Macaca mulatta: one gene and its partners. The protein of the gene in region 3 binds, or shares a complex with, the protein of the main gene of each other region. Links are inferred from orthologs where the notes say so. Each region holds a gene or a part of one and is shown on either strand. Other genes may lie near its edges.

Region 1 (3,500 bases), on a different chromosome or scaffold from region 3:
ATGCTTCAAGCACAGAGGCAGCAGGAGGTTACAAAGTTGTAAGAAAAGGTAAAATAAATGGGAGTGTCCAGTGGGGAGACAAGCTCCCTTGCTAGGTGAGATAAGTCTTCCGAATAGCTGCTTCCTTCCCTATATTCCCCCTGGGTACCGTGTGAGCAGAGACCTACACTTGGTCCTGGATGAAGGAGACACGCTGATACCAGGCAGGCTTTGGAGTTAGGCAGTCGAGATTCAGAGCTTAGCTCTGCCACTTAATATCTGTGTGGCTTTACACAAAATTCTGAATCATCTCTGAACTTCATTTTGTAACACATAAGGACATTTCCTTCTGCCTGGCACAAACCAGCTACCAGCAACCAGTCTCTTGTTAGCGCTCCTCACTCATCTGGTCCCACAGAAAAGAGCCGCCCTTCTCAGGAGCCTCAGGCTGGGAAAGACAGGGCAGGTGCATGCAGCCCCTCACACCAGGCAACAGCACCTAGGGCAGTAGAGGTGGCAGCTGGGACTGGAAGGGGTGGAAGACAAAGCTGAGAAGACATTTGGCGAGTGAGGGGTATGGGGAGTGAATAAGGTGGCAGGGAGGGCACCCCGGGTTGGAAAACACCATGGGCAGCCTTGAGACAAGAAAAGCCAAGACAAGCTCACAGGGAGGCCGACAGGTCTGCCCAGCCCAAGCAGTGAGCCCAGGGAGGAAGGTCCCTGCCCCGGGAAGAGTGGGCTGGTCTGAGAGGGTGGCAAGAAAGGTAGAACAAAACCTGGGGCACACCTGGGGTGGGGTTCCGCGCTAGTGGGCCTGCCCTCCCCTGAGGTTCCACTCTGCCGCCCTTCCAGCAGCATTTTTCATTCCATCTGCCCAATGCCCGCCTTCTCCTGGGTTTCTGGGAACTGACCTTCCTTCTCTCTCTGCTGGTGAATTGGTGGAAAGTTCTCTGCACTGCCTGGGATGTCATCGTGTATGAGCTTGTGTTCACCTTGTTCTTCCCGTTTTCTCCTCCCCCGTCCCCACCTCCTGCCCTCTCTCCTTCCTGTTCTCTCTCCCTTCCCTTTCCTTGTCTTCTGGTCTCTCCTCTTCCTGGTGGTGGTGGTGTCGGTGCAGCTGAGGTGGCAGGCAGCAAGGTTGTCCCTGCACTACCAGAGAGTGGCCAGCCAGAGCCTGGGCCACCTGAAGTGGAAGGCGGAACAAAGGCTACGGGTAATAACTTTCTCCTTGGAGCTAAAGACAGGCCAGGACTGGAGTGTGGAACCTGTGAGGGCAGAGTCAGACCCCTGCCCATGGTCACACACACACCCACAAGCTCCCTCAGCTGCCTGGAATGGGGAGGAGGAGGAAGATCTGGCTCTAAAGACAGGGACAGGCCCTGTGCTGTCTTAAGAATCCACCTGTCCAGGCTCCTGTTCAGAGTGGCAGGGATAAATGCCTGTGTGCAATTGTGGGAGGGGCAGGGAAGCCTGGCCTGGTTCTGGGGACCCAGTGTCCTTCACCTGATGCTCGAGCAGCCACTTCCCCACCTCAGCCGCCGCTCCAGTGTCACTGTGGAAATCAGCTGAAAGGGCCCCCCAGGTTCCACAGTGGTCCTCTGTGCTTCCTGCCTGTCAGGAACCCTCCACGTCCTTCCTCCAGCTCTCTCTGACACCCCTTGGTTGGGTCAAGGGACCTCCAGAGGATCAAGGCATGGATGGAAGAGGGGCAGGGCGGGGCTGCAGTTCATCCAGAGCTGGAGTCAGGCAGGGCAGGAGGGCTGCTGCCTGCTCCTTTCAAAAGAGCCTGAAACCAGTCCACAATCTGTTTACTCAAGGACGGGGAGCCACTCTGATTTCCCCAAATGAAATACTGCAGCTCTGCCACTTCTCCCTTGAGTTCACCACTCAGCATCTCCCCTGGGTTGGGGCCAGACTGAACAAAGTGCCATCTAGAAAATCTCGGGAGTGGCCGAGCGCGGTGGCTCATGCCTGTAATCCCAGCACTTTGGGAGGCCGAAGCGGGCGAATCACGAGGTCATGAGATCGAGACCAGCCTGACCAACATGGTGAAACCCCATCTCTACTAAGAATACAAAAATTAGCTGGGCATGGTGGCACGGGCCTGTAATCCCAGCTAATCGGGAGGCTGAGGCAGGAGAATTGCTTAAACCCAGAAGGCGGAGGTTGCAGTGAGCAAACATCGCGCCACTACACTCCACCCTGGTGACGGAGCGAGACTCCGTCTCAAAAAAAAGAAAGTCGCGGGAGCAGGGCTTTTAGGGGGCTGGCAGACAGTGAGCAAGGCCCGTGTGCTGCAAGTTCATCTGGAGAGGACTGCCTGGCCTGCTCTGTCGGGTGACTAGGGAATCCCACAGGAGCGGGAGGATAGCTTCAACTTCTCTGTTTGCCTCCTGATCTCATTCTCTTACTGTGGGGACAGGGAACTGCTTTTATGTCAGCATGCCAGCAGGACCCCTGGACTCAAGCACCGACCACTCAGGGGTACCCACAAGCCCCCCTCAGCCTGACAGCGTCCCTGCAGGGCAGGCAGAGCCTCGGCCTCAGCTGCAGGGAGGCAATGGAGATCCAAGACGCCTCAGCCGCTCTCCCCCAAGCCTGGCCCTCAGGGACGTAGGCATGATCTTCCGTACCATTGAGCAGCTCACCCTCAAGCTCAACAGGCTCAAGGTGAGGGAAACAGGGCTTGGGTCCCTGCAGGCCTTCAGTCCATCACTCCAAAACCATTCCCCATGAGTGAGATGTGTGTCTTCGCGGGAGCCCTAGATCCTGTCCTGGCCCGGGAATCTTCCCCCAGCCACCCTTAAATCACAGCCCCATCCCCAAGGCCCAGCACAGATCAGAGTATGACCCCTTCCCCAGGGGCCTTAGGAATAGAAGGACTTGAGCAGACATTCCCCCGCCGACTCTTCCAGGATATGGAGCTGGCCCACAGAGAGCTGCTCAAGTCCCTCGGGGGAGAGTCATCTGGTGGCACCACGCCTGTGGGCAGTTTCCACACAGAAGCAGCTAGATGGACAGACGGCTCCCTCTCACCTCCCACTAAGGAGCCCCTGGCTTCTGACTCCAGGAACAGCCATGAACTGGGGCCCTGCCCTGAGGATGGTGAGTGAAGCCAGGTCCCTCTCAGGACCTACCATAGGGGAGAAGTCCGCCACCTGGTGAGGACACATCACTAAGCAGTGAGAGATAGTGGTTCTCAGAGTCTGGTTTCCCCTTGAGTGAAACGAATTCATTCCCTCAGCTTCAGAGAGGGATCTTTTTAGGGAAGTCCCACAGAAGCTCCCTGGAAAAATGGGGAGCTTAGAATTGAGCCCTCTTTTTCCTTGTATATGGAGGTAACAAACCAGGAGGAGCCTGGTCTCACATCTAAGATCTGTACTTTTTAAAATTACATATATATGTGTGTGTGTGTGTATGTGTATATATACATATATAAAATATAAATATTTTCTATTTCTTCGAGACAAGGGCTGGCCTGGCTATGTTGCCCAGGCTGGTCTCAAACTCCTGGGCCCAAG
Region 2 (3,500 bases), on a different chromosome or scaffold from region 3:
CAAAGCAAGTCCCAAGGCCAGCCTCGATTCAACGGATGGGGAAATAGACGTCATTTCTTTTTTTTCTTGTTTTTGGGTGGAGACAGGGTCTCGCTATGTTGCCCAGTCTGGTCTTGAACTCCTGGGCTCAAGCAGTCCTCCCACCTCAGCCTCCCAAAGTGCGGGATTATAGGCATGAGCCACCGTGCCTGGCCTAGACTCCACTTCTTGGTGGGAGAAGCTGTAAAGCCACATTGAAGGGGCATGGATACATGGAAGGATAAAATTTAATAATTAAACTACTAGCCCAGGTATTTTCTTAAAGCCTGACATCAGCTCCCTTTGATACACCTTCTCCCTGATGTCACAATGCCACTCAGAAGCATTCTGGGACCTCAGTGGCATGGGCCATGAGGGAAGGACCAGGGACCAGGGCTGGAGAAACTGACCAAGTCCTTGGGCTGGTCCCTGAGGGGTGGGTGATCTGACATCAATGCCCAGCATCCAAAGGGGAGTGGCCAGCTCAGGTTAGACCCAGACACATTCACATCTGAGCAGGTTCATCTGGGGACGAGCCTGGCACAGGAATCTCATGAAGGTGATACTTTAACCCATGACAGTGGCCAAGGCTCTATGTGGATTATTGGGGGGAAGTGGAATTGTGGTTTTCACTAGGGAGATAGGGACAGGGTACAGCTTTCCCCTTCCAGGGATCACACTGGAAAAACTAGACAGTGTCGAGGATTCAGCAGTTTGGGATTCAGGTCAGCGATCTAGCCTTACTGCAGTCCTAGTTATTGAAACCGAGCAGAAACAAGGGTTAGAGTAGCAGCTGAGCAGTCAGCTCAGTCACAGGGCTTCTCCTTATAGGATGCACTAGATCTCGGTTCTGAGGCTGACATGACATAAACAGGACACACACACGCTTCTCTTCCCACACTTTGGTGCCCATAGCAGACATTACTAATGGATCACAGAACAGTTTTTCTGGTGAGTCCAGACAAGGTCTCAGAATCCTTCTCTGTTGAGAAGGTGCTATACAACTGAAGAGCATTAGCATATGAGTTGAAATCTGCATACTCTGATCTCTGGTTGCAGGCAATATGACATTCTATGCCCCACTGACTGATGGGACTGAGCCTTCTTCATGCTCCCCTCCCTGGCTGGTTTAGGGACAGGTTGTTGCTGCCAAACTGTGTTGAGAAGGAATCTGAAGCTTCACCTGAGCTTAGTAGGAAAGGAGAACCATGATGAGTTTGAGATGTCTGGAACAGGAGAGGCCCCTTAGAGAACATGGCTTCGGGGACAGTCAGGACTGGTGCCTGGTTTCAGCCCCCATTTTTCCTCTCTGGGTTGGGGTGCAGTGGGAAGCTGTCAGAGAGAGAGTCTGCCCCTGGGAATAGGGACATTCCAGAGCCCCCAGTACCTCTAAGAATGGTAGGTTGCATTAGGATTTCCCAACACTATTGACATTTGAGACCAGATCATTCTTAGTGGCAGGGACCATCCTCTGCATTGCAGGGTGTTGGGCAGCACCCCTGGCCTCCACCCACCTGATGCCAGTAGCACCCCCACCCCCAGTCGTAACAACCCAATATGTCTTTAGATATTGTCAAATGTCCCCTGGTGGGGAAAACTGAGACCCTCCCTGGACTAGATCCTGAAAACCTCTTCCCTCCCAGTAGCAGGGAACCACCAGGTTGTGTAAGGAGGGGTGAACTGTCCCAGGTTGGAAACAGAGCAGGTCAAAACTCCCATGCTTTTCAGTAGTGAGATTGCGCCTGTGAGTAGCCACTGCACTCCATCCTGGGCAACATAGCAAGACCCCATCACAGAAAGAGAGAGAGAGAGAGAGAGAGAGAGAGAGAGAGAGAGAGAGAGAGAGAAAACCTCTTCCTATCAGCAAGAGTTTATGGAAAGAGCAAAGGCTTCAAAGGCTTTGGGATCAGGAGGACCTGGGTTTGGTGTGGCTTGGCTGACGTGCAGGGTGACACAGGTCAGCGTGTGGGCCAGGGTGCTCCCCTCATTAGGCCTCAGCTTTCCCCTCCAGCAAATGAAAATGACACCCTCCACCTCTCTGTGCGTGTCCTCACACTCAGCGAGTGCCACCCCCACCCCTCCCACAGCCCTGGTCTCCCTCCTGAACCCGTGTGCCAACTTGAAAGTGTGCAATGAGGACCAGACCAACTGCACAGTGCCCACTTACCCCTCGTGCCGCGACAGCGAGACCTTCAGCACCTTCCTCCTGGACCTGTTTAAGCTGACCATCGGCATGGGCGACCTGGAGATGCTGAGCAGCACCAAGTACCCCGTGGTCTTCATCATCCTGCTGGTGACCTACATCATTCTCACCTTTGTGCTGCTCCTCAACATGCTCATTGCCCTCATGGGCGAGACGGTGGGCCAGGTATCCAAGGAGAGCAAGCACATCTGGAAGCTGCAGGTGAGGCCCCAGGGCCCCCAGCCCCATCCCACCGGCCACCCTTGTCCTTCTAAGGACACTCACCCGACTGGCTTCCTCGGCCTTCCATTCTGAGCAAGCCGTGTCTTCTCATTCTGCCTCCACTTCCCTGTCTGTAAAATGGGCATCAGAGGCTGCTGCTGACTTCCCGGAGCTGCCTCATGAATTTCGAGGTGGCTTCTTGCCTGGCCACCAGCAGTGGACTCAGATTCTCCTTGTGGTTCAGCTCACAGGACACAGTTGGCTCCACCCAGCATGACTGAGTGACTTCTGCCAGCTCAGAAAGTGCTCAGTGGCCATCAGCGTTTCAGCAGGTGTCCCATGCTGAGCCCAGGGGGCAGCTTTTATGCTTCAGCACGCCAGCACAGGGATGTCAGCATTCTCACGGGGGTCTTTTACTAGCAACCGTGAGCATGCTTCCTAGAGGAGAAACCAGTGGAGATAGGGGCTGCCTTGGCCCCGGGGAGCTGCAGCCTTTACTTCCCAAAAGCTTTCTGTACAATCCTGGGAAGCGCAGGCCCTGGGATCACAGCCCTCCCAGGCCAGGTGCAGCCTCCAAACCTGGTGTCCTAATAAACAGTGCTGCCCCATGGCCCAGGAATACAGCACCCATATTTACTTTGTGCATTTCAGGAAAATGGTGCAGTGAAAAAAAAAAGGCCCAAGGTTGTCCTCCCAGGACTGCGTCTGAGGGAAACAACTCCGGCCTGCTCTTAACCTTTATCTGTATTGCTTACTTCATTGGGCCTCAGTTTCCCCACTGGGCATTACAGGATGCAAACAGGGCATCCTGTGGGCTGGAGTGCAATGCACGCTCTTGGCTCACTGCAACCTCTGCCTCCCAGGCTCAAGTGATTCTCCGACCTCAGCCTCCCAAGTAGCTGGGACTAAGGTGTGCACCACTGCACCTGGCTAATTTTTGTATTTTTTGTAGAGATGGGGTTTCACCATGTTACCCAGGCTGGTCTTGAACTTCTGAGCTCAAGCGATCGGCGGGCCTTGGCTTCCCAAAGTGCTGAGATTGCAGGTGTGAGCCATTACACCCAGCCTCAGACCATTA
Region 3 (4,165 bases):
CGTGAGCCACCAAGGATTTGTGTTAAAATTTTTTTTGCTGGCCAGGCACGGGGGCTCAAGCCTGTAATCCCAGCACTTTGGGAGGCCGAGACGGGTGGATCACGAGGTCAGGGGATCGAGGCCATCCTGGCTGGCTAACACGGTGAAACCCCGTTTCTACTAAGAAATACAAAAAACTAGCCAGGCGAGGTGGCGGGCGTCTGTAGTCCCAGCTACTCGGGAGGCTGAGGCAGGAGAATGGCGTAAACCCGGGAAGTGGAGCTTGCAGTGAGCTGAGATCAGGCCACTGCACCCCAGCCTGGGCGACAGAGCGAGACTCCGTCTAAAAAAAAAAATTTTTTTTTGCTTTATTTTTTTCTTCTTTTTTTGTATTAGAGATGGGGTGTTGCTATGTTGCCTAGACTGATCTTGTACTCCTGGGCTCAAGTGGTCCTCCTGTCTCAGCCTCCCAAAGTGCTAGGATTACAGGTGTGAGTCAAGCAATGCTCGTGCCTCAGCCTCCCCAGTAGCTCGATTACAGGTGCCAACCACCACCTGCCCACCACCCCCGGCTAATTTTTGTATTTTGTATTTTAGTAGAGACAAGAATTATACCATGTCGGCCAGGCTGGTCTCAAATTCCTGACCTCAGGCAATCCACCCACCTCAGCTTCCTGCTGGAATTATGGGCGTGAGCTACCCTGGCCAAGATTTTTAACTTCTGAAGCTTATAGCTGCTCTAAATCACAAGAATTCAGTTCCATAATTTTAAAAAGTTGCTTGTTTTGACTTTAGGTATATGGTTGAACATTCTAACTTTTGTTATGTATACATTTTTATTTTACTGTATTCTTGTGGCCATTGTATCCTACTCTGTATGTTGCAGATGAGTTGTGATTCTCTGGACTTAGAGATCACATGCTCTATTACCAGGATATTTTTTTGTAACTCCGTTTGTTGTTTGGGATATAGGCTTTGAGAGGTTAAGGAAGTAAATTTAGGATGGATATTGATGTTGTAGCACTTTGTTAATCCTTTTCTCTACAAGATAATTTTATTATGTGATACAGCAATTTTGTTCAGAGATGTTTTGTGTGTGTGTGGAAAATTTCTTTTCTGGATGAAATCTCTTGTTTAACTTCTCCAGTTATTCATAATGAAGCTGTTTATCTTTTAAAGATATTAAGTTCAGAAAAGGAAGGCAAGCTGCATACAGTGGCTCACGCCTTTATTCCAGCACTTTGGGAGGCCAAGGTGGGTGGATCACCTGAGGTCAGGAGTTCAAAACCAGTCTGACCAACATGGTGAAACCCCATCTCTACTAAAACTACAAAAATTAGCCAGGTGTGTTAGTGGGTTACTGTAATCCCAGCTACTCAGGAGGCTGAAGCAGGAGAATTGCTCGAACTTGGGAGGTGGAGGTTGCAGTGCTCCAAGATCACAGCACTCCAGCCTGGGCAACTCTGTCTCAAACACAAACACAAAGAAAAGGAAGGCAGTAGAGTATCTTATTTAAGAGCATGGATTCTGGAGAGAAGCTGACAGTTAAATACTAGCTCTGACACTTGATGGCTTGAGACCCTTGACAGTAATATGATTCCTTTTTGATTCAGTTTTTTTCTTCTGTAGAAAGGGAATGGTAAGCGAGCACTATGAGATTTCAGTGAGAGAGAAGCACTTACCTCAAGTGCCAGACAGCAGCCTTTCAGCTAACTTATTATATTTATTTATTTTTTGAGATGAAGTTTTGCTCTTGTTGCACAGGCTGGAGTGCAATGGCACGATCCCAGCTTACTGCAATCTCCACCTCTCAGGTTCAAGCGATTCTCCTGCCTCAGCCTCCTGAGTAGTTGGGATTACACGCATGTGCCACCATGCCCGGCTAATTTTTTGTCTTTTTATTTTTATTTTTATTTTTTTTCATTTATTTTTATTTTTTTTGAGATGGAGTCTCGCTCTGTGCAGTGGCCGGATCTCAGCTCACTGCAAGCTCCGCCTCCCGGGTCCACGCCATTCTCCTGCCTCGGCCTCCGGAGTAGCTGGGACTACAGGCGCCCGCCACCTCACCCGGCTAGTTTTTTTTTGTATTTTTCAGTAGAGACGGGGTTTCACCGTGTTAGCCAGGATGGTCTCGATCTCCTGGCCTCGTGATCCGCCCGTCTCGGCCTCCCAAAGTGCTGGGATTACAGGCTTGAGCCACTGCGCCCAGCAATTTTTTGTATTTTTAGCACAGACTGGTTTTCACGATGTTAGCCAGGATGGTTTCGATCTCCTGACCTCAGGTGATCTGCCTGCCTCCACCTCCCAAAGTGCTGGAATTACAGGTGTGAGCCACCGCGCCTGGCCTACTTTTTTTATTACTTTTTTTTTGGAGACCGAGTCTGGCTCTGTCGCCCAGGCCGGAGTACAGTGGCATGATCTCGGCGCCCTGCAACCTCCGCCTCCCAGGTTCATGCGATTCTCCTGTCTTAGCCTCCCAGGTAAACTGGGACTACAGGTGCATGCTGCCACGCCCGGCTAATTTTTGTTTTGTATTTTAGCAGAGACGGGGTTTTACCGTGTTGCCCAGGCTGGTCTCCATCTCCTGTGTTCAGGCAGTCCGCCTACCTTGGCCTCCCATAGTTGCTAGTATTACAGCCGTGAGCCACCGTGCCTGGCCTTTTTTTTTTTTGAGACGGAGGCTTGCTCTGTTGTCCAAGCTGGAGTGTAGTGGCACAATCTTGGCTCACTGCAACCTCTGCCTACCCAGTGCAAGCGATTCTCCTGCCTCAGCCTCCCAAGTAGCTGGGACTACAGGCGCGCGCCACCATGCCCAGCTAAATTTTTTGTGTGTGTTTTTGTGTTTGTTTTTTCACTAGAGACGGAGTTTCACTATGTTGGCCAGGCTGGTCTCGAACTCATGACCTCGTGATCCACTTGCCTCGGCTTCCCAAAGTACTGGGATTATGGGTGTGAGCCACAGCGCCCGGCCTTTTTTTTTTTTTTTTTTGGATAAGGTATTGTTTTGTCTTCCAGGCTGGAGTGCAGTGGCATAATCTTAGCTCATGGTGGCCTCCAGCTTTTGGTGTCAGGGTATCCTTCCACCTCAGCCTCCCGAGTAGCTGGGACTACAGGTGTGTGTGCAACTGCGCCCAGCTAATATTTTTACCTTTCGTAGAGATGGAATCTCAATGTCTTGCCCAGGTTGGTCTCAGACTCCTGGGCTCAAACAATCCTCCCACCTCAGACTCCCAAAGTGCTGGAAGTATGGGCGTGAGCCACTGAGTCCAGCTATCTTCAACTTTCACTATTCAGGTTACAGTTTGTAGTACCTTTTTTTGGCAGGGCAGGGGAAGGGTAGCGGGAGTAGCGCCCTAAGATCTCTTGGAATAAAACAGGGCTTACTACTTGGTTCCTGGTGCTTAAGAACATGTTTCCTAGACTCGGCTCTTTCCAGACTTGGAATCCAGTTCCCCAAGTTGGAATCACCTGAGGTTTGTTTTAATCACCTTCATGGAGGTATAATTTGCGTACAATAAAATGCATATACTTTATTTTATTTTATTATTATTTTTTTTTGAGACGGAGTCTCGCTCTGTCACCCAGGCTGGAGTGCAGTGGCCGGATCTCAGCTCACTGCAAGCTCCGCCTCCCGGGTTCACGCCATTCTCCGGCCTCAGCCTCCCGAGTAGCTGGGACTACAGGCGCCCGCCACCTCACCCGGCTAGTTTTTTGTATTTCTTAGTAGAGACGGGGTTTCACCGTGTTATCCAGGATGGTCTCGATCTCCTGACCTCGTGATCCACCCGTCTCGGCCTCCCAAAGTGCTGGGATTACAGGCTTGAGCCACCGCGCCCGGCCAAAATGCATATACTTTAAATGATAGTTTGATATATTTTTTTTTAGACACAGGGTCTTGTTCTGTCACCCAGCTGAAGTACAGTGTCGGAATCATAGCTTACTGCATCCTCAACCTCCTAGGCCCAAGAATTCTCCACTTCAGCCTCTTGAGTAGCTAGGGTTGCAGGTATGCACCACCACGCCTGGCTACATTTTTAGTTTTTAATTATTTTTTTGTAGAGAGAGGGGTCTCACTAAGTTGCTCAGGCTGGTCTTGAACTCCTGGTCTTAAGTGATCCTCTCGTCTCAGCCCCACAAAGCCCTGGGATTGTAGGCACGAGCCACCACAAACCACCAGTTTGATAAA
Region 4 (3,500 bases), on a different chromosome or scaffold from region 3:
TGTTCAGCTTGAAGAAACAAACAGCATGCTAACCAAAGATATGGAAATATTAAGAAGAGAGAACGAAGAGCTAACAGAGAAAATGAAGAAGGCAGAGGAAGGTATGTAGAATTTTTTTTTAAATTATCATGTTAAATCAAATTCAGTGATTTACCTTTACCTATGTTGTGTTAGGTTTCTAAGATACCTGTTTTCATATATTAAGTAACTTCTGTAGCCTTAAGAATTATCTTAATGAAGTTACTGAAAGTTAATATGTAGTGTATACTCATTTGAATAATTAAGGACATTGTTAGTTTGAGATGCAGAAATTAATACCATACAATAACATTTAATATAATTTGTTGACAGAATATAAATTGGAGAAGGAGGAGGAGATCAGTAATCTTAAGGCTGCCTTTGAAAAGAATATCAACACTGAGCGAACCCTTAAAACACAGGTATACATGCTTTCAATCTTTTCCACATGTTCATTTTTGAGTTAATCGTTGCTCTTTATGCACTTTTTCCTAAAACCAAGGATTATAAGGTTCAAACTTTTCATCAGAACAAATAACGTAAATTCTTTTTTTTTTTTTTGAGACGGAGTCTCGCTCTGTCGCCCAGGCTGGAGTGCAGTGGCCAGATCTCAGCTCACTGCAAGCTCCGCCTCCCGGGTTCCCGCCATTCTCCTGCCTCAGCCTCCCGAGTAGCTGGGACCACAGGCGCCGCCACCTCGCCCGGCTAATTTTTTGTGTTTTTAGTAGAGACGGGGTTTCGCCGTGTTAGCCAGGATGGTCTCGATCTCCTGACCTTGTGATCCGCCCGTCTCGGCCTCCCAAAGTGCTGGGATTACAGGCTTGAGCCACCGCGCCTGGCCAAATAACGTAAATTCTCTCCCTGCTAACTATAAAAAACTTACTTGTGAAATAGGATTTTCAGGCCAGGCGTGGTGGCTCATGCCTGTAATCCCAGCACTTTAGGAGGCTGAGGCCAGCAGATCACTTAAGGCCAGGAGTTCGAGAGCAGCCTGGCTGACATGGCGAAACCCCAGTCTCTACTAAAAATACAAAAATTAGCCGGGCATGGTGGTGCGCTCCAGTAATACCAGCTACTCAGGCAGCTGAGGCACGAGAATTGCTTGAACCCAGGAGGCAGAGGTTGCAGTGAGTAAAGATCATGCCACTGCATGCCAGCCTGGGTGACAGAGCAAGACTCGGTCTCAAAAATAAAAAAAAGAATAGGATTTCAGTTAAGAAAGCTAACTTACCTAGTAATATTGTACAGTTGTAGAAGATAAGAGTATGTGGCCAAGGCATAGAAGCTTTATTTGCTAGTACCCAACATCAGAGTAGGATTAACATACTCTTGATTCAGTACTGGGTTGTAAAGTTAACCAAGGAAAGGCTCCTGGTTCTTACATTTGAGTAGTGTGATAAATCAGTGTTAGTTACTTGTGCTACCAGTTATCATGTCTCAACCGTCATTAAGTTGTCTGAATTTTCATACACACAAAAAGTCCTGCTTCCTTATTTTGAAGAAAAAAATACATTTTAGTATTAAATTGGATGACTACACTATTTATCTTTATTAATATTTTAATAGGCTGTTAACAAGTTGGCAGAAATAATGAATCGAAAAGATTTTAAAATTGATAGAAAGAAAGCTAATACACAAGATTTGAGAAAGAAAGAAAAGGAAAATCGAAAGCTACAACTGGAACTCAACCAAGAAAGAGAGAAATTCAACCAGATGGTAGTGAAACATCAGAAGGAGCTGAATGACATGCAAGCGGTAAGGTTTGTGTGTGTGTATGGACACGAGTGTGAAGGATTATTTTCTTAAATTATTTCTGTATATACTTGTTATCTGTTTATCTTGTTTAGATTGGGAACAATCAAGGGTTCCGCCTGTTTGGTTTCAGACTGTAATTGGGATATGGCTGTTTTAATGTTAACTGTAATTGGGGTAGAGGTTTTGAAGTATTGTAGCTTATTTATTTTCTCTAGTCAAGACTCACTTTTTTGAAATCAAAATAACAAGCTTAATTTTTTGATACCTCTTGGCTTGTTAATAGAACAAAATTGAGAACCTGGTCTCAGGCACTTAGATCTAAGCTTTTTAGCTCCATCAATTATGGTTTTCTGAAGTTTTCTGTACCTTTAAAGCTACTTCATTTGGAGCCAGAAAAGCATTTTCTATTGTAACTTTTTTTTTTGATGGCTTATGTTTGAAAACAAAAACAAAAACTCTTTTTAAGGCAAGTAGAAAAGGAATTTGTCCGAGCAATGTATTACTGAGAACTTGACATTTCTGTAGTGTATCAAAATCTGTGGTAGCAAACATTCATGAAGTTTACTGTACATTTTTAGTATTAGCAATTTAAATTACTTTATTATATTTCAATTAATAATGTTGGAAATTGTTTTAGCTTGATTATATATTATCTTGATACTTTTCAAAATTAGCAACTGGTAGAAGAATGTGCACATAGGAATGAGCTTCAGATGCAGTTGGCCAGCAAAGAGAGTGATATTGAGCAATTGCGTGCTAAACTTTTGGACCTCTCGGATTCTACAAGTGTTGCTAGTTTTCCTAGTGCTGATGAAACTGATGGAAACCTCCCAGGTAAGAATAATTCTGTATCATTCAAACATGTATAAATGTCATGGAAATTAGTGTATATTTCTTTCATTTGGGTTTCTACCTCCTTGTCGTTCTATCCATGGATTCCTAAGAAGGAATTCTTATTTCTGATAGCCAAGGCCTGATGATTATACACTTGGTGTATTTTATGGAGTACAGCAGTTGTAAGCAATCTTAGGCTATTTAAATAGACCTAAGAAGCTTTACCTGAATAAAAACCATAAGAGGTTTATGAACCTATTTTGAGCAGCCTAAGTCCACAGTGAGAGTCAAAGCTGCTACTACACATCTCGCTATTTTTTAAAAGTTGTACATTTTTGTCAGTAATAGATCTTTAACATTTTCTGTATTCTTGTGCTAAAACTAGGAACTGTACTTTATCATCAGAATCACAGCAGCTATGTATAGAAGCCTATCTAGTGGAGTAGTGATCAACTTCAATCAGACTTTGTTAAGTTTTAAGTTTGGAGAAATAGATAAAAGGGGTTGGGCAGTGCAGTAAGAGGCCAGGGGTGTCAAATAAAGGCAGGAATGAGTGGCTAAGATTTCAGACTTTTTTCTGTGTCTTCTTTTTCCCAGTGGAGAATCAATTTAAAAATAAACACAACTTCATTCTTGGCTTAATCGTCATGTAAACTACAGTACATTTATGTACTTTACAGAGATGAGAAATACGTATACTATAAGTTCAGTTTAGAAGTAAAATGAATAGGTTATCATTATTAAAACATGCATTTACATATACACAGAGTCTTAGTTCAGAGTCTTGGAAGTTTTGTATATATGGTCATAAACTTGAAAATAGATTTTAATTAGTGTATTTTCTGAATAATCCATAAATAGGAAGATATTTATGAAGCAGCATGTTTGATATT
Region 5 (3,500 bases), on a different chromosome or scaffold from region 3:
GTCAATATCATTTTGGTCTTTGGAAGCCTTTTCTTTTTTTGTTATGAGTGGTATAATACATCTGTGTGTATGTACAGGTGGATGGGTGGATATGTGTTTTATAATAGGTGCATAGTGAGTTTATATGTATTTGTAAGATAGCAGTTTCTTAGAAAGTGAAAATCGTTAAGTTGGGTACCCTATCCCAAGATCAATTAGCAGTTGACAGCTGAAGTTATACTAATTTGATGCAAATCCAGTCTATAATGGAATGATAGAGCCTCTTCTTAGTCATTAAGGAGAGCACTGAAAATTAAGTCCTCTGTTATAATGCTTTAAATATATATATATGAGAAATTTATATAAATTTATCAAATATTTCTGAAAAGATGTATAACAAATTAGTAGCTATAGTTGCCTCCGGGAAGGCAAATTGCCAAACAGGGTATGATACTTTCACCGTATATCCTTTTGAAATGTTTGAAACTTTTACTTTGTGCATGTATTACCTCAACAGTTTTCAAAAAACAATCTTAAATAAAAAGGAAAAATAATTTTGTGTTTCTGACCATTGTCTTTTAGTGTACAGCTAGGCTTTAGAATTAGACCTGCATTGAATCCTAGCTCTACCACATAATTAGAAGTGTGACTTTGGACAAGGTGCTTAATATTGCAAGGCTTTATTTTTCTGTATGTAAAATAGGGAAAAAAAGATTATTTGGAGGGTTAATAAGAGTCATAAAACACTTAGCACAGTACCTGGCTATGTATAAGTACTTAATTTATTAACCATCAAGTACATGATACTATTTTGTTAAATTTTTATTGACTTAATTAAAATGTAATTTGGTCTAATATGGTTAAAAATTTGATAAAGGTACTAGTGCAATAATATGAATAAAACTTTTTTTTAAAATAGTGATCGTACTGCTAATACTTAATTACCCATGAATACATTATGCAGACTAACCCACATATTATAATTTAAATGATAGCATTTTTTAAGTTGGGTATTTTTCCCAAATCTTTCATATTTGTTTGATCTATTAGAGAGCAAAATCATTTCATTTTCATAAATCTTACATAAAGGCTATCAAGTAAATAGGACTTGAATTGTTTTGTTATAGGATTACTTTTAGATATTGTGAATGTTGTTTACCCTAGGCGTTTTCATGTTTCAGAAACCTACTTCTTCTCCAGTGAAATCTACTACATCTATCACTGATGCTAAAAGTTGTGAGGGACAAAATCCTGAACTTCCAAAAACTCCTATTAGTCCTCTGAAAACGGAGGTATCGAAACCAATTGTGAAGTCAACTTTACCCCAGACAGTTCCGTCCAAAGGAGAACTAAATAGAGAAATTTGTCTGCAATCTCAATCTAAAGACAAATCTACAACACCAGGTTACGTATTTATAAAAAATTTAAAATTATTGCTGACTATATTCAGGATATCTATTCTCAACATTTTAAATATCCAGTTGTGAATGGTACAGCAATGGTTTGCCAGGGCCAGTGCCTGAATGTTCCAAATGAGACCTCAGCTTTAGTTGATTCAATGAATATTTATTAATGTAGACTAGCCTATTTACTGGTCAAATGACTTAATATGTTACATTTTAACAGTTTAAACATGCTTTTTCCAGGATGATCTTGCTAGATTTTATTTTCTATATTTTTTGATTCAGACAAAGCATATTTAACTGGAAATCACAGTTTAGGGGCATAATGGAGAAACATTCTTGTAGCCAAGGGTGCAGAGCAGTGCTTCTCAATCTTGAGTATGAAGGCACCTCTAATAGCAGAGAGAAGTGAATGTGCATATGAATGACTCCACCTCTAATTTTATTTATTAAATTGATAAATGGTAGAAATATTTGAAAAAATTGCTGTTTATTGGTAAATAATATATATATTTTGGAAGTACATTTGATAATTTAATATATTCATATAATTTGTAAATATCAAATCAGTGTAATGAGGATATCCATCACCTTAAATACTTGTCTTTATGCTAGAAACATTTGAATTCTTCTCTTGTAGCTATTTTGAAGTATACAATAGATTATTGTAAACTATAGCACCCTACTGATCTATCAAACACTGGGTCTTTTTTGTTCTGCCAAACTGTATATTTGTACTCATTAATCAACCTCTCTTCATCCCCCAATTATATCTATCTGTGTATATATTGTGTGTGAGCATTTACATATAAAAGTTCAAAATTTCTTGCCATAGTAAACTGATACTCCAGGAAATGCCATATTTATCTTGTGGTGATTTATATCTTCTGGCACACTTCCACATGCTGTTAATTGAGAAACACAGGACTAAAATATATGGTAATCGAGTTTATTCTGAACTGTGTTCATTTTCATTGGAAAGACTTTTAATTCTAAGGTTTAACTTTCTGAAAATACAACCTCTGCAGAAACTATAGTTCATCATAAAGGGGCAGTAAACAGAAATGAGAGTGGGGAAGCGGTTATGGGGTAGGTAGAAATCAGCAATTTCCAGTTGAGCTGGAATGAGAATTAGAAACAATAGCAAGATCCCCAGATGGAATAGGACTAGTTAGTCCCAATTTTCTAAAGACTCAACGCTTAGATAAGAAGCATGTGTTTTAATTGTTCTTGACTACTGGATATACCCAGAATCACATTTCCAGGGTTTCAGAGATATTTATTTTAGATACTTCACTGCATTCTTAATGGACTGTAGTTTGGAATATGGCCTGAAGTAGTAATAAGTGACAGGTGAAGTCCTCAAATTATGGCCATGGCTCAAATTCTACTCTTTGCTTGTTTTTGCAAGTAAAGTTTTATTGGAGCACAGTCACACCCATTTACTTACATATTGTCTGTGGTTGCTTTCATTCTGTAATGCAGACCAGAATAATTGTGACAGAGGCCATATGGCCCACAAAGCTCAAAATATTTAGTGCCTGGCCCTTTACAGGAAAATATATGCTAATCTCTGATATAGATAAGCCTATTTTTATGTAATACAACCTTAGAATCCTCTTGATGGGAGTGATATATGCCCCATTTGCCCTATTTTAAATTTACTTCATACTGTTTCAAATGAGTGCTGTGGAGTTTTTTGTTTTGTTTTGTTTTGCTGTTTTTGTTTTTGAGACAGGGTCTCACTTTGTCACCCAGGATGGAGTGCAGTGAGTGGCATGATCTCAGCTCACTGCAGCCTCAACCTCCCAGATTCAAGCAATCCTCCTGCCTCAGCCCACCAAGTAGCTGGGATTATAGGCATGCCACTACACCTGGCTAATTTTTGTATTTTTTTATAGAGATGGGGTTCCTCCATGTTGCTCGGGCTGGTCTCGAACTCCTGAGCTCAAGAGATCCACCTGCCTCGGTCTCCCAGAGTATAGGATTACAGGTGTGAGCCACCGTGCCCAACCGAATACTATTTTAAGATACTGTAAAATCAAGGTGTCCTTTTGATAAAATGAATAATCTCTAGTTTTCCTTCTGAAGGAGAAAAAGGAAAAATTCCCTTATTTT
Region 6 (3,500 bases), on a different chromosome or scaffold from region 3:
AGGCTGAAGAGGCTCGAAGGCAGCTGGCCGCCCTGGGCCAGACCGAGCCACTCCCAGCCGAGGCCCCCTGGGCCCGCAGACCTGTGGATCCTCGGCGGCGCAGCCTCCCTGCAGGCGATGCCCTGTACTTGAGTTTCAACCCCCCACAGGTAAGGTGGCCTGCAGTGGTGAACGGACCTGGGGTGGACATAAGGGTCCGTGGAGCCCAAAAGAAATTGGGCCATTGGGGATTTGAGCCCAAATGCAATCAGGCAACCGACTTGAAGGATATTGAGGTACTAGTTGGAGAACTGAAAAGAAATGTAGATGGGTGCAGGGGTGGAGGAAACTAACTCGGGTGGTGGTGCTGAAAGAGGCCAGTTGGTGGTGGATCTCCTGAAGGGGAGTCATGGGTGAGCCCCAGTGGGGAGAGCTGCTGCCTTCAGCCAAACAGAACCTCCAGTCTTCACACTACTCAGTCCCTGGCCTGCTGTTCTTCCTGCCCACTGTCCACAGCCCAACCGAGGCACAGACCGCCTAGATCTGCCTGTCACTACTCGCTCTGTCCATCGACACTTTGAGGACCGAGAGAGGCAGGAACTGGGGAGCCCTGAAGAGCGGCTGCAAGATAGCAGTGACCCTGACACTGGCAGTGAGGAGGAAGGTAGCAGCCGTCTGTCTCCGCCCCACAGTCCACGAGGTGAGACCCTGGCGGAGACATGGACCAGAGGTAGAGTGCAGCCTGCGTACAGGCCTTGGGGCTGTGGCTTCCAAATGGGCCCTAACTGACCTGTGAGGCTTATAGTAACTCTAGGGAGGGACTTCCTGTTTTGTCTGATGATGAATGGTTGGTGGAACTCTAAGAAGCAGGAGGGGCCTCCCTCCTCCAACTGGTTGGTGATTCCCAACCTTTAGAAGTAAAAATAGATTTTTTTTAGAAAAGGCATGGTGGCTCAGGCCTGTAATCCTAACACTTTGAGAGGCCAAGGCAGGAGGATCGCTTAAGCTCAGAATTTTTTTTTTTTTTGAGACGGAGTCTCGCTCTGTCGCCCAGGCTGGAGTGCAGTGGCCAGATCTCAGCTCACTGCAAGCTCCGCCTCCCAGGTTTATGCTATTCTCCTGCCTCAGCCTCTCGAGTAGCTGGGACTACAGGCGCCCGCCACCTCGCCCAGCTGGCTTTTTTTGTATTTTTTTAGTGGAGACGGGGTTTCACGGTGTTAGCCAGGATGGTCTCGATCTCCTGACCTCGTGATCCACCCGTCTCGGCCTCCCAAAGTGCTGAGATTACAGGCCTGAGCCACCACGCCCGGCCTAAGCTCAGAATTTTGAGGCCAGCCTGGGCGACATAGTGAGATCCACCTCCTCTACCAAAAAAAAAAATTCATTTATTTTATTTTATTTTTTTATTTAATTTAATTACTTACTTATTTTTTTATTATTATTTTTTGAGACGGAGTCTTACACTGTTGCCTGGGCTGGAGTGCAGTAGTGTGATCTTGGCTCACTGCAACCTCTGCCTTCCAGGTTCAAGCAGTTCTCCTGCCTCAGCCTCCCGAGTAGCTGGGATTACAGGCACCCACCACCATGCCCGGCTAATTTTTGTATTTTTAGTAGAAACGGGGTTTCACTGTGTTGGCCAGGCTGTTCTTGAACGCCTGACCTCATGATCTACCTGTTTTGGCCTCCCAACAGATTGGGATTACAGGCGTGAGCTACCATGCCCGACTAAATTTTTTTTTTTTTTTTTTTTTTTTTTTGAGATGGAATTCTCGCTCTGTCACCAGGCTGGAGTACAGTGGTGAAATCTCGGCTCACTGCAACTTCTGCCTCCCAGGTTCAAATGATTCTCCTGCCTCAGACTCCCGAGTAGCTGGGACTACAGGCACATGCCTCCATGCCCAGCTAATTTTTGTATTTTTAGAAGACATAGGGTTTCACCATGTTGCCCAGGCTGGTCTCTATTTCTTGACCTCATGATCTGCCCACCTTGGCCTCCCAAAGTGCTGGGATTACAGATGTGAGCCATTGCGCCTGGCCTATTTTATTTTTTATTTTTATTTTTTTAAAATGGAGTCTCACTCTCACCCAGGCTGGAGTGCAGTGGTGTGATCTCAGCTTACTGCAACCTCCACCTCCTGGGTTCAAGTGATTCTCCTGCTTCAGCCTCTCGAGTAGTTGGGATTACAGGCATGCGCCACCACACCTGGCTAATTTTTTTTTGTATTTTTTAGTAGAGATGGAGTTTCACTATGTTGGCCAGGCTGGTCTCGAACTCCTGACCTCAGGTGATTCATCCACCCTGGCCTCCCAGAGTGCTGGGATTACAGGCGTGAGCCACCGTGCCTGGCCCGCCAAAATTTTTTTAATTAGCCAGGCGTGGTGGCGTGCGCCTGTAGTCCTAGCTACAGACAGTGAGAGTGAGGTGAGAGGATCGCTTGAGCCCAGCAGATTGAGTTGACAGTACTCTGTGATTGCGCCAGCCTGGGCGACAGAAAGAGACCAGGAGACCCAGACACAGGATCTCGCTCTGAAATTTTTTATTTTAGAGACAGGGTGTCGTGCTGTTGCCGAGGCTGGACTCAAACTCCTGGGCTTAAGTGATCCTCCCAAGTAGCTGGGGCTACAAGTGCATGCCACTGTGCCTGGGAAGATATAGTTGTTTTTTTTTTTTTTTTTTGAGACAGAATTTTGCTCTGTCACCCAGGCTGGAGTGTAGTAGCACAATCTCAGCTCACTGCTACCTCCACCTCCCAGGTTCAAGCAATTCTTGTTCCTCAGTCTCCCGAATAGCTGGGATTACAGGCACGTGCCACCACATACAGCTAATTTTTGGCACTTTTACTAGAGATGGGGTTTCACCATGTTGGCCAGGCTGGTCTCCAACTCCTGGCCTTAAGTGATTCTCCCACCTTGGCCTCCCAAAGTGTTGGGATTACAATCATGAGCCACTAGGCCAGTTTTTAAAGTAAAAAAAGTTTCAAAGACCTTCAAGTTTTTATAGTTGGTTCATGAAATAAAAAATTACCAAAAGCTCTAACCTTAAAGTATTTTGTACTTTCCTAATCAGATTGTATCTTTGGATACTGTACAAGTGTATCTGGTTCCTAGATGTGGATACCTCACTTACTGTGTTGCCAGAGGTTTTCCTCTCACCCAAGAATTTACAGAACCCTGTCATCCCTTCACAGCCCCAGAGCCCCCTGAGCCTGCAGATGGGGAGGCATTAGTATAGGGGTACAGTTCCTCATGGGAGTCTCTGCTCACTCACTGGCTTTGTCCTGTCCCCCTTCAGACTTTACCAGAATGCAGGACATCCCGGAGGAGACGGAGAGCCGCGACGGGGAGGCTGTAGCCTCCGAGAGCTAAGGGGGCCCCTCACCCCTGCCCTGTGCCCCACTGAAGAACATTACTGAGGGGGGCTAACCTTGGGGACTCCAATTTGCCAATGATGAGGGAACATTTGAAAGAACTGCAGACTGTCCTTGCCAGCTCTTGGGATCCTTAGATACCTGGGGCCATTT
Region 7 (3,500 bases), on a different chromosome or scaffold from region 3:
CTACTAAAAATACAAAATTAGCCGAGCATGGTGGTGTATGCCTGTGATCCCAGCTACTCAAGAGGCTGAGGCAGGAGGACTGCTTGAATCCAGGAGGAGGAGGTTGCAGTGAGTGGAGATCGTGCCATTGCACTCCAGCCCGAGCAACAAGAGTGAAACTCTGTCTCAAAAAAACCCCGAATAAACAAAAACCCAAATAATGGCAACTTGCTGCTTAAAATCCTTTAAGTGCTCCAGAATTCTCTACAGAATCAAGTCCATACACCTTAACTTGGCATATAATTCACTTAATTCCCAGTTTTCAACCTCTCTGGCCACTGTCTCTCTCCACACTCTATGTTCTAGCAATGCTGCTTTATTTGCAGTTTCCTTCTAAAATTATGCTGTTTTACATCTCTGTACTTTTTGTACATCCTGTCGTCTTTGCCTGAAAAGGCCCTTTCCTTCATTCTCTTTCCCTTTCCTCCTGAGAGATTCCTAGTTAGCCCCTAAAATAGCACTCCTTCTATGACACCATCCCAGACCACTCAGACAGTGTGTTAGTCTTTCTTTCCTCTGTTACATCCGAATAGCATATGTAGCTTTAATGCTGTACTTAAGCTAGCTGTTTTTATGTCTGTCCCCTCAATAGATAGTTAATTCCTTTATAGAAACACTATTTTGTAGTATTTACACTGCAAGAACTCAAATATTAACTGTTAAATGAACAAATGGGCATGAGAGAACAGTTATGATGGAGAAGGGGTGAAAGGGGTACCAACGAAGCCATTTTGCTATTCTCTCTTGATAACTTTCGCTTTGCCAACATACTACTTGGTCCTGTGTCAGGGAAAATGTATAAGATTTTAGGGTGGTCTGGGTGAGACAGGTAATAGGAAGGTCCTAGTTAACAGCTGCTTTTCCCCAGGGAAAGTTCTCAAGATTTAGCATCTGATGGAGAAGAACACTCCTGAGGCTAACCAGCTGGGATGGCTATTATGGTGAAGTGAATTATTTATATGAAAGAGATTTATACAAGTCAAGAACAGTTTTAGTTTTATGCTTTTTCTCTTGGCATCTTCTTATCTGTTCTAAAAATAAATGAAAACAGCTGGTGGGTTTGAGTTCTAAACTTTCTCCTCATATATAATCACTACTGAAGTTGTACAAGAGAAATGACTGAAAGGGTCACCTTAGAAAACAGTATTAAAGGCTGGGCATGATGGCTCATGCCTGTAATCCCAGCACTTTGGGAAGCCGAGGCAGGCGGATCATGAGGTCAGGAGTTCGAGGCCAGCCTGGCCAACATGGTAAAACCCCATCTCTACTAAAAATACAAAAATTAGCTGAGGGTGGTGGCGCCTGCCTGTAATCCCTGCTACTCTGGAGGCTGAGGCAGGAGAATTGCTTGAACCTGGGAGGTAGAGGTTGCAGTGAGCCGAGGTTGTACCACTGCACTCTAGCCTGGGCGACAGAGCAAGACTCAGTCTCAAAAAAAAAGAAAGAAAAGAAAAAAACAGTATTTAAAAAATTTAAAAATCATATAATCTAGATACTAAATCAGCTGCTGAACTGCTGGCCTGGGTACTCACTATTGTGATCTTTGAAACAGCTCATCTGTTCATTTATTGGTTATCTACCATGTGCCAGAAAGCTGCACAGTCACAAGAATGGATTTTTTTCTAACTCTGTGAGCTCTGGACATCATATACTATCTAGATATCATTTAATTTCTAAATTCTAAATATCAGTAGCCTGCATGGTCAATGCCTGGCACAAAGAAATGTTTGACACTAATGCTGGTAATGGTGGTGGTAAAAGTAATAACAACAATAGCAGCAGCAACAGCAACCCCCATTTACTGAGTGTTTCCTATATCCCATGTACCAGCTAAGCACATTATACACATGATCTCACTGAATCTTCACAATACTTTCAGGTAAATATTATCCCAGTTGTTAGGACCTACAATGCTGGGTTTCTGAAAAAGACGCTCTGAAGTTTTCTAGTGAACAGTTTCCTCTGGAACTTACTTTTGATTTACTGTGTCGTATAAGGGCAGACAGCAGTCTGTTTGACTCCCCCATCACACCAGCATGATCTTTGGCTTCACACCATTCCACCAAACGCTCCACTAACTTAACATTCTTTCCCAGTTGTTCAGCAGCTTCTGCTATAGGAAAGAAGGCAAACCAAGGAATGAATCACTAACAGACAATCAGCTGAAGTAATTCGTAAAGATTTAAGAGTGTGAAGGAGAAATACATCTAAAAAAACACAGCACAACAATTTCATTAAAGCTAGAACTGCAAATATTCCTTATGTGATGGGCTATTTGCCTTTTTCTGTAACATTGTGAAATTTTATAGAAAATACAAAAACAAATGATTTCATACTCTTTTGGTTAAGCCTGCTAGTCTGTTAGTGCTCTGGCAGACTATAATGCAGGGTTCTTAGAAGGACTCTATGCAATCAATATAGAAAAGGCTTTAGAATTTAGAAATAAGTAAATAAACATAATTCATTCCTAGGAGTGGTTCTGACTGCTGTTTCTGCAAATAGAAAAATGCTCTCCCTGCCACAAGACAAATTTTTAAGATTTTTGACTGTCACAATAATGAAATTTGATTTCAAAGCCAAGGTGAAAATGGGTATAGAATGCCAAAACACAACGCCCTCCCCCGAAATTGATAATAAAGCAAACTAAAACCAGGATTATAAGAATTAATAAGGAGAGATATGGTATAATTTCTACTTAAAGTCAATAATAGGCTGGGCGTGGTGGCTCACACCTGTAATCCCAGCACTTTGGGAGGCTGAAGTGCGAGGATCGCTTGAGGCCAGGAGTTCAAGAGCAGCCTGGGCAACAAGCCCCATCTCTAGTGAAATTCCAAAAACAATTAGCCAGGAGATGTGGAGCATGCCTGTAATCCTAGCCACTCAGGAGGCTGAGGCAGGAAAATTGCTTGAACCCAGGAGGTGGAAGTTGCGGTGAGCTGAAGTCACACCACTGCACTCCAGCCTGGGTGACAGAACAAGACTCTGTCTCAAAAATAAATAAATAATAGTTATAAATAAATAAATAGTCAATTATAACAAGCACAAAAATTAACAAATGGAGTTCCAAAACTAATTTTTTAATCTTTTATTTGCTATTTTTTATGATTACATAATCCTGAAAGCGAGAAACAAGTCTTTTTTCAACTAGAAGCACATTAAGACTATCATACCAAAAATGCAAGTTGGGGAAAACATTTCTTTTACCTTGTGCATCTATTAACATTCTTAATGTTCCCAGAAGTTTGAACTGAACAGGGGGCATTTCAGATTTAAGAAATTTTAAAACTGTCTCTGTGACCCCAGCTGATAACATCTTTGCTTTATTTATAACTGTAGAAAAAGAGAGACTATGGTTAAAATGGTATTAGCATTCCTGTTGATAAACATTCAATTCAATACAGGTTTATTGAGTGTCTTTAAGATCCATGTTATATTTTTCCATTTAGAAACAATTCTGTCAC

Evidence for each region.
Region 1: the proteins of RHOA (region 3) and ARHGEF11 are in contact, whole or in part, in a crystal structure (PDB 1XCG), measured with the Homo sapiens proteins. The link is inferred for Macaca mulatta from reciprocal best matches to the Homo sapiens genes RHOA and ARHGEF11. Residues at the interface, in NP_001300870.1 of Homo sapiens: Arg5, Thr19, Val33, Tyr34, Pro36, Thr37, Val38, Glu40, Asn41, Val43, Asp45, Glu54, Ala56, Trp58, Asp59, Ala61, Gly62, Gln63, Tyr66, Asp67, Arg68, Leu69, Arg70, Leu72, Ser73, Pro75, Asp76, Pro96, Glu97, Pro101; in NP_055599.1 of Homo sapiens: Asn715, Gln717, His718, Glu737, Val738, Glu741, Thr745, Ser748, Ser837, Lys844, Arg867, Arg868, Leu869, Gln870, Arg872, Asp873, Ile876, Met879, Gln880, Arg881, Thr883, Lys884, Leu887, Leu888, Ser891, Arg914, Leu917, Lys918, Val920, Asn921.
Region 2: the proteins of RHOA (region 3) and TRPV4 are in contact, whole or in part, in a cryo-EM structure (PDB 9IQX), measured with the Homo sapiens proteins. The link is inferred for Macaca mulatta from reciprocal best matches to the Homo sapiens genes RHOA and TRPV4. Residues at the interface, in NP_001300870.1 of Homo sapiens: Met1, Ala2, Ala3, Arg5, Tyr34, Pro36, Val38, Phe39, Glu40, Asn41, Tyr42, Val43, Glu54, Trp58, Glu64, Asp65, Arg68, Leu69, Leu72, Pro75, Asp76; in NP_067638.3 of Homo sapiens: Lys177, Arg179, Thr181, Glu183, Glu184, Arg186, Pro188, Arg224, Glu225, Asn228, Ser229, Pro230, Arg232, Arg237, Asp263, His265, Ala266, Gln267, Arg269, Asp313, Arg315, Arg316.
Region 4: the proteins of RHOA (region 3) and ROCK1 are in contact, whole or in part, in a crystal structure (PDB 1S1C), measured with the Homo sapiens proteins. The link is inferred for Macaca mulatta from reciprocal best matches to the Homo sapiens genes RHOA and ROCK1. Residues at the interface, in NP_001300870.1 of Homo sapiens: Val38, Phe39, Asp65, Tyr66, Arg68, Leu69, Leu72, Pro75; in NP_005397.1 of Homo sapiens: Lys999, Val1003, Asn1004, Leu1006, Ala1007, Met1010, Asn1011, Arg1012.
Region 5: the proteins of RHOA (region 3) and ANLN are in contact, whole or in part, in a crystal structure (PDB 4XOI), measured with the Homo sapiens proteins. The link is inferred for Macaca mulatta from reciprocal best matches to the Homo sapiens genes RHOA and ANLN. Residues at the interface, in NP_001300870.1 of Homo sapiens: Tyr34, Val35, Pro36, Thr37, Val38, Phe39, Glu40, Asn41, Trp58, Asp65, Tyr66, Arg68, Leu69, Pro71, Leu72, Pro75, Asp76; in NP_061155.2 of Homo sapiens: Met729, Thr732, Val733, Tyr735, Gln736, Ala737, Gln739, Ala740, Cys743, Cys744, Glu748, His749, Gly750, Ser753, Glu755, Glu758, Ala759, Leu762.
Region 6: the proteins of RHOA (region 3) and ARHGEF2 are in contact, whole or in part, in a crystal structure (PDB 7G9I), measured with the Homo sapiens proteins. The link is inferred for Macaca mulatta from reciprocal best matches to the Homo sapiens genes RHOA and ARHGEF2. Residues at the interface, in NP_001300870.1 of Homo sapiens: Arg5, Lys7, Lys27, Gln29, Val33, Tyr34, Val35, Pro36, Thr37, Val38, Phe39, Glu40, Asn41, Tyr42, Val43, Asp45, Glu54, Trp58, Asp59, Ala61, Gly62, Gln63, Tyr66, Asp67, Arg68, Leu69, Leu72, Ser73, Pro75, Asp76; in NP_001155855.1 of Homo sapiens: Asp215, Ser216, Ser218, Leu219, Asp238, Val239, Glu242, Thr246, His249, Cys342, His345, Ser346, Leu349, Lys353, Lys376, Arg377, Gln381, Glu382, Leu385, Leu386, Thr388, Gln389, Ile391, Thr392, Lys393, Leu396, Leu397, Arg400, Lys423, Leu426.
Region 7: the proteins of RHOA (region 3) and RAP1GDS1 are in contact, whole or in part, in a crystal structure (PDB 5ZHX), measured with the Homo sapiens proteins. The link is inferred for Macaca mulatta from reciprocal best matches to the Homo sapiens genes RHOA and RAP1GDS1. Residues at the interface, in NP_001300870.1 of Homo sapiens: Ala3, Ile4, Arg5, Lys6, Asp13, Lys18, Lys51, Asp65, Tyr66, Asp67, Arg68, Leu69, Arg70, Pro71, Leu72, Ser73, Tyr74, Lys98, Trp99, Pro101, Glu102, His105, Phe106, Leu179, Cys190, Leu191; in NP_001093897.1 of Homo sapiens: Arg111, Tyr118, His121, Ser171, Glu200, Met201, Val204, Asn208, Glu211, Leu212, Glu213, Ala249, Glu253, Lys290, Thr291, Asp294, Leu295, Val297, Leu298, Leu301, Asp303, Leu334, Leu338, Ala341, Asn342, Ala344, Arg345, Asn346, Asp347, Cys350.

The regions. Positions count from the first base shown.
Region 1 is NC_133406.1:109,985,301-109,988,800, forward strand, and holds part of ARHGEF11 (rho guanine nucleotide exchange factor 11), read left to right. Parts: coding exon 1-48; coding exon of another isoform or gene 49-95; exon of another isoform or gene 96-99; intron 100-1,096; coding exon 1,097-1,192; intron 1,193-2,401; coding exon 2,402-2,649; intron 2,650-2,894; coding exon 2,895-3,084; intron 3,085-3,500. UniProt on the Homo sapiens protein: May play a role in the regulation of RhoA GTPase by guanine nucleotide-binding alpha-12 (GNA12) and alpha-13 (GNA13). Acts as guanine nucleotide exchange factor (GEF) for RhoA GTPase and may act as GTPase-activating protein (GAP) for GNA12 and GNA13.
Region 2 is NC_133416.1:116,953,056-116,956,555, reverse strand, and holds part of TRPV4 (transient receptor potential cation channel subfamily V member 4), read left to right. Parts: intron 1-2,105; coding exon 2,106-2,422; intron 2,423-3,500. UniProt on the Homo sapiens protein: Non-selective calcium permeant cation channel involved in osmotic sensitivity and mechanosensitivity. Activation by exposure to hypotonicity within the physiological range exhibits an outward rectification.
Region 3 is NC_133407.1:112,848,108-112,852,272, reverse strand, and holds the start of RHOA (transforming protein RhoA), read left to right. Parts: upstream 1-1,365; 5' UTR 1,366-1,982; intron 1,983-4,165. UniProt on the Homo sapiens protein: Small GTPase which cycles between an active GTP-bound and an inactive GDP-bound state.
Region 4 is NC_133423.1:71,438,556-71,442,055, forward strand, and holds part of ROCK1 (rho-associated protein kinase 1), read left to right. Parts: intron 1-7; coding exon 8-101; intron 102-351; coding exon 352-440; intron 441-1,584; coding exon 1,585-1,773; intron 1,774-2,447; coding exon 2,448-2,607; intron 2,608-3,500. UniProt on the Homo sapiens protein: Protein kinase which is a key regulator of the actin cytoskeleton and cell polarity.
Region 5 is NC_133408.1:91,961,004-91,964,503, reverse strand, and holds part of ANLN (anillin), read left to right. Parts: intron 1-1,160; coding exon 1,161-1,383; intron 1,384-3,500. UniProt on the Homo sapiens protein: Required for cytokinesis. Essential for the structural integrity of the cleavage furrow and for completion of cleavage furrow ingression. Plays a role in bleb assembly during metaphase and anaphase of mitosis.
Region 6 is NC_133406.1:111,003,152-111,006,651, forward strand, and holds part of ARHGEF2 (rho guanine nucleotide exchange factor 2), read left to right. Parts: coding exon 1-149; intron 150-495; coding exon 496-709; intron 710-3,271; coding exon 3,272-3,345; 3' UTR 3,346-3,500. UniProt on the Homo sapiens protein: Activates Rho-GTPases by promoting the exchange of GDP for GTP.
Region 7 is NC_133410.1:107,712,748-107,716,247, reverse strand, and holds part of RAP1GDS1 (rap1 GTPase-GDP dissociation stimulator 1), read right to left. Parts: intron 3,370-3,500; coding exon 3,244-3,369; intron 2,153-3,243; coding exon 2,013-2,152; intron 1-2,012. UniProt on the Homo sapiens protein: Acts as a GEF (guanine nucleotide exchange factor) for the Rho family of small GTP-binding proteins (G proteins) that stimulates the dissociation of GDP to enable subsequent binding of GTP.